Linked DNA regions of Saccharomyces cerevisiae S288C. The main gene of each other region encodes a partner of the protein of the gene in region 2 in a complex. Each region holds a gene or a part of one and is shown on either strand. Other genes may lie near its edges. A codon is read from its position in the direction of its gene.

Region 1 (3,127 bases), on a different chromosome or scaffold from region 2:
TCCTCCTGATCTAGCTGCTGATGCTGTTGCTGCAATTGTTGTTGCTGTTGTTGTTGTTCCTGTAACTGCAGCATCATATTATTTCTTGGCGTGGCATAAGCGACTCTTAAGGCCCTTCCTTGAAACCATTTCCCACTCATCTCAATCAGTGCCCTGCGGCGCTCATCTTCATCACCGAATCTGACAAATCCAAAACAACGAGATGATCCTGTTAAAGGGTCAGTCATCACGCGGACGGTTTTAACAGATTTGAACCTCGTTTGGAAAAGAGATAACAAATCAGCTTCAGTGGCGGTGGGAGAAAGATCACCAACAAACAAGGAAAATTCTGGGGTAGATGGTATAGAACTTTGTAAAGTAGCTCCAGACGCCCAATTCAATCTGAAAGTCCTTTTGAACGTTGGATTAGTTTGGGAGTTAGTTGTTGGGGAATAAAAATTAGGTAAAGGTGTAGCATTTAATGACAGGGCAAATTTAGCGTCCTTTTGAGTTTCAAATTCGACAAAACAGTATCCGGCATGATGTAATTGAGTAGTGGAAGGATCAATGAAGGATATTCCATTAATATTAATCATTTGGGAATTATCTAACTGATCAGTGCTGTTTGATGCAGATTGCTGGTTTTCAGCATTCTCCTCACTTGTGTTGTTATTACTACTTGAGGTGGAGCTACAAGGAATCAACAAATTTTTTTTGGCTCTAATTAGTTTAACGATAACTTTTTTATCCAGTTTTGACCATATCTCCTCAATCGTGGCCTCGTCGAAGGACGGATCCAAATCTCCCATCCATAACGTTCTTGGGGGTTCAGTAGAAGTTTCCACTGTGGATGAAGGAGGCAATGGAATAATATATGGATTTTCCTGTCTTTGGGAGGCGTTAGCAACGTTAGACATCATTTGTGTAAATTTTTCAGGCAAAAATCGATGGCGAAGGATATGAAAAAGCTGTAATATTTAAAAGATCCAATAATAGTAAAAACAATATAAATCAGAACGAAAGGGAAAGAAAAAAGCCTCCTTTATTAATATTGGAACAGGAAGAGAATATCAAAAAATGAACCGGGAAAAAAATGGAATTACAATATATGACAATATAACAGATTCGATCACGAGAAATCAGAATATTTGGAACTAGGATATAACACGCAGATGGTTTTCCGTACAACTATGAAGAGTCAGAGAAAAAAAAAAATAGTGAATAAGAATGGTAATCTCTTTTATTGCTTCTTTGTCGACTGCGTCTATGTATATTGGTTCTAAAGGGAACAGGGTATGATAACCAGATTTAATTACAAATATGCTTATTTTCACTTTTAATGGAGTGTATGAAGGTGCGAAACTGCTTGCTTGACTAAGATTTGGTCTTGAATACAAGTTTGGGGAACGCTTTTTGGAACGGCACTATCGCCCCTTCACAGCCGTTTGAAGCTGGTAGAAAATATTTTATCGTGTTGTACGGAGAAATTTAATGGTGTATCCAAATATTGTTAAAGGACTAGTAGAAATGATAATGATTGATTTCATTAGCTATTATGGCAAGGGTCAACATCGTTGCAGTATAAGAAGCGATTGCTCTCATTTTTTTACGTGTCCTGTGTTGCTCTGTATTGTCTTGACTATTTGCGTGTTCATTTAAAGAAAAACCTCAGTATGGATAGAGACACTAAATTAGCTTTTAGGCTGAGGGGCAGTCATTCAAGAAGGACAGACGATATAGATGATGATGTTATTGTATTTAAGACGCCAAATGCTGTTTATAGAGAGGAGAACTCACCTATTCAATCTCCTGTTCAACCCATTTTGTCTTCACCAAAACTTGCGAATTCTTTCGAGTTTCCTATTACCACTAATAACGTAAATGCGCAGGACCGTCATGAACATGGGTATCAGCCCTTGGATGCAGAAGACTATCCCATGATCGACTCTGAAAATAAAAGTCTTATAAGCGAATCGCCGCAAAATGTTAGAAATGATGAAGACCTTACTACTCGTTACAATTTCGATGATATACCCATTAGACAGCTATCATCGTCTATCACTTCTGTGACCACAATTGATGTTTTATCTTCTTTATTCATAAACTTATTTGAAAATGATTTGATTCCGCAAGCTTTGAAGGATTTCAATAAAAGTGATGATGATCAATTTAGGAAACTATTGTACAAATTAGATCTGCGACTCTTTCAAACGATATCAGACCAAATGACCAGAGACTTGAAAGACATATTAGATATCAACGTGTCGAATAATGAGCTCTGCTACCAACTGAAGCAGGTACTTGCTCGAAAAGAAGATTTGAACCAGCAGATAATATCGGTACGAAATGAAATTCAAGAGTTGAAAGCCGGTAAAGACTGGCATGACTTACAAAATGAACAAGCCAAACTGAACGACAAAGTGAAGCTAAATAAGAGGCTAAATGATTTGACTTCTACTTTGCTAGGCAAATACGAGGGAGATCGCAAAATTATGAGCCAAGATAGCGAGGACGATTCAATACGGGATGACTCAAATATTCTGGATATTGCACATTTCGTAGACTTGATGGATCCATATAACGGACTTCTGAAAAAGATAAATAAAATTAATGAAAATCTTTCTAACGAATTACAACCAAGTCTATAGGGAATTGGTTCAAAAGATGTATATATATATATATATATATATATATGTATGTATATATGTATATATGTATATATGTATTACTTCCATACTAAGGAAGTTGTGTTATAAGGTCATTTTTATGTGGTAGACATACTTCATAGATATGCACAAATCTCTCTTTTTTTTTCCTGTTGTCGCTATTAGCTTATCAAATTTGCATCATTTTCAAGTAACGCTGTGACCATTCTGTAGAAGTAGAAAAAGAATATGAGAAGGTAAAATCCCAATTTTAAAAAGCATTCAATTTTGCATCTACCCAATTTTCTGAAAATATCCGTGGCGTCCAGTAGATGTGTTTTCTTGTAGACTTTACTTGCGTTATATGCTAGAACAGGGACATTCAAGAGAAATACGAACCAGTACCCGTTAAAAAGAAACAATGCAGAAATGAAAGCTTGTAGAATTGCCTCTGGTACACTCAACCTATTCACCCTCTTACACAGTTCGATTGAGTTGATATA
Region 2 (2,778 bases):
CGTCCAATATTTTATTGGATGAAGAAGAAAAAGTAGCGAAACTTTCTGATTTTGGAAGTTGTATTTTCACTCCCCAATCATTACCTTTCAGCGATGCTAATTTTGAAGATTGTTTTCAGAGGGAATTGAACAAAATTGTTGGTACTCCGGCATTTATTGCACCAGAGCTATGTCATTTGGGCAATTCCAAAAGAGATTTTGTGACGGATGGCTTTAAGTTGGATATTTGGTCATTGGGAGTGACACTATACTGCTTACTGTACAACGAGCTGCCATTTTTCGGGGAAAATGAATTCGAAACCTACCACAAAATCATCGAAGTATCATTGAGTTCCAAAATAAATGGTAATACTTTAAACGATTTAGTCATTAAAAGGTTATTGGAGAAAGACGTTACTTTACGCATAAGTATTCAGGATTTAGTAAAGGTTTTGTCGCGTGACCAGCCCATAGATTCTAGGAATCACAGTCAAATTTCATCGTCCAGTGTGAACCCCGTAAGAAACGAAGGTCCTGTAAGAAGATTTTTTGGTAGGCTACTGACTAAAAAAGGAAAGAAAAAGACCTCAGGAAAAGGGAAAGACAAGGTATTGGTATCTGCAACTAGTAAAGTAACACCTTCGATACATATCGACGAGGAACCGGATAAAGAATGTTTTTCGACTACGGTCCTTAGATCTTCGCCAGACTCGAGCGATTATTGTTCATCGTTAGGGGAGGAAGCCATTCAGGTTACGGATTTCTTAGATACTTTTTGTAGGTCAAATGAAAGCTTACCTAATTTGACTGTGAATAATGATAAGCAGAATTCGGACATGAAAACTGACAGAAGCGAGTCATCCTCTCATTCGTCATTGAAAATCCCAACACCTATCAAAGCCATGATAAGACTAAAGAGTTCCCCTAAAGAGAACGGGAACAGAACCCATATTAATTGCTCACAGGACAAACCGAGTTCCCCACTAATGGATAGGACTGTTGGAAAGCGCACGGTTAACAATTCAGGGGCTAGAAAGCTTGCTCATTCAAGTAATATTCTCAACTTTAAAGCATACATAAATTCGGAAGATAGTGACATTCGAGAAACAGTAGAAGATGTAAAAACGTATCTGAACTTTGCAGATAATGGTCAAATATAGATGAAACTACAGGATGATATCTGTCGGATTGGGTTAGCTGATAATCGTATAGCCGATGTGAAATATGATTATTAATTGATTTACTTGGTTATGGTAAATACATAAATATATATATAGAAACGGCAAATTACCCACATTTGCATTTGTATTAATAACACTAAAGATAATATTCATAATATACCATCATTGATAATTGAAATCGACATCAACATTTATCAATTGAGAGTTTAGTGGTCTTCTATTGCGAGAATATCGAACGATATGATTTATCTTGATCCCACTGTGTCGCGAAATCGCGGAAGTAAATTGAAAACAAAAGAAAAACAAAACTTCATCGATAAATATTGAGAAAACATCTCTTAAAAACAGTAGTAGATAATCTTGAGAATTTACTTTATAAAAAACAGAAGAAGGACTGAATATAGAAAGAATACTAATATAACATAATCATGTCAAGTAAACAACAATGGGTTAGTTCTGCTATTCAAAGTGATTCGAGTGGAAGATCACTCAGTAACGTCAACAGGCTTGCAGGAGACCAACAATCTATTAACGATCGTGCGTTATCGTTATTGCAGAGAACAAGAGCGACAAAGAACCTGTTTCCAAGAAGAGAGGAAAGAAGACGTTATGAAAGCTCAAAAAGTGACCTAGATATCGAAACAGACTACGAAGACCAAGCAGGTAATCTAGAAATCGAGACAGAAAATGAAGAAGAAGCTGAAATGGAAACTGAAGTACCTGCACCAGTGCGAACTCATTCATATGCCTTAGACAGATATGTTAGACAGAAAAGGAGGGAAAAACAAAGAAAGCAGAGCTTAAAGCGCGTCGAAAAGAAATATACTCCTAGTGAATTAGCTCTGTACGAAATTCGAAAATACCAACGTTCCACGGATTTATTAATCTCCAAAATTCCATTTGCAAGGCTAGTGAAAGAAGTTACAGACGAGTTTACAACTAAAGATCAGGATTTACGTTGGCAGTCAATGGCGATTATGGCGTTACAGGAAGCAAGCGAAGCGTATCTGGTAGGATTATTGGAACATACAAACCTCTTGGCGCTGCATGCAAAAAGAATTACTATAATGAAGAAAGACATGCAACTAGCAAGAAGAATCAGGGGACAGTTTATTTAGTGATATTTGTGCTTCAGGGCTGGAGCCGATTTTTCCCTTTTTCGGGGTTTATATTGACTTAAGGTACTTTAAATGTTTTAAATAAGGTTATTATAAGGTCATATTAGCATACCTTTCGGTTCGACAAGTGCTCTCCGCTGTTGACAGTTTTTTTTTCATGTTCACTTGTTGGCTTTGTAAGACATTTTTGGCAGTCCCCTATATTTCGCGATGAAGCTCCAAATCAAAGGTTAAGGGTAGAGGTTATTTCTTTTTCAGACTGATTAAGGGATACTTCTGCAGGATATACATGATGGAAAATGATGCACTCAAAGATGGTATTTAACACATGAAAATCTTCATAGAAAGCACCATGTTTTCTACAATGTCTAAACAAAAGTGATCACATGAGTTCAAATCAGTAGTTTTAGAGTGTGATTGACAATAAAACTTTAGGAACAAGTACAATACTATAATGTCACTAATATCTGCGTTGCAAACCACCGATGTGGAATCTGTCC

What was found. The genes of interacting proteins can lie anywhere in the genome.
Region 1: the proteins of CSE4 (region 2) and AME1 are in contact, whole or in part, in a crystal structure (PDB 8T0P), measured with the Saccharomyces cerevisiae proteins. Residues at the interface, in NP_012875.2 of Saccharomyces cerevisiae: Ile34 (codon at 1,688), Arg37 (codon at 1,697), Ala38 (codon at 1,700), Leu41 (codon at 1,709), Arg44 (codon at 1,718); in NP_009770.3 of Saccharomyces cerevisiae: Asp188 (codon at 2,214), Lys190 (codon at 2,220), Asp191 (codon at 2,223), Ile192 (codon at 2,226), Asp194 (codon at 2,232), Ile195 (codon at 2,235), Ser198 (codon at 2,244).

Annotation. Positions count from the first base shown.
Region 1 is NC_001134.8:645,658-648,784, reverse strand, and holds AME1 (Ame1p), read left to right. Parts: upstream 1-1,652; coding exon 1,653-2,627; downstream 2,628-3,127. Other genes in the region: NGR1 (Ngr1p), read right to left, coding at 1-899; ERV15 (Erv15p), read right to left, coding at 2,807-3,127.
Region 2 is NC_001143.9:345,575-348,352, reverse strand, and holds CSE4 (centromeric DNA-binding histone H3-like protein CSE4), read left to right. Parts: upstream 1-1,588; coding exon 1,589-2,278; downstream 2,279-2,778. Other genes in the region: serine/threonine protein kinase ELM1, read left to right, coding at 1-1,139; LPX2 (Lpx2p), read left to right, coding at 2,733-2,778. UniProt on the Saccharomyces cerevisiae protein: Histone H3-like nucleosomal protein that is specifically found in centromeric nucleosomes. Replaces conventional H3 in the nucleosome core of centromeric chromatin that serves as an assembly site for the inner kinetochore.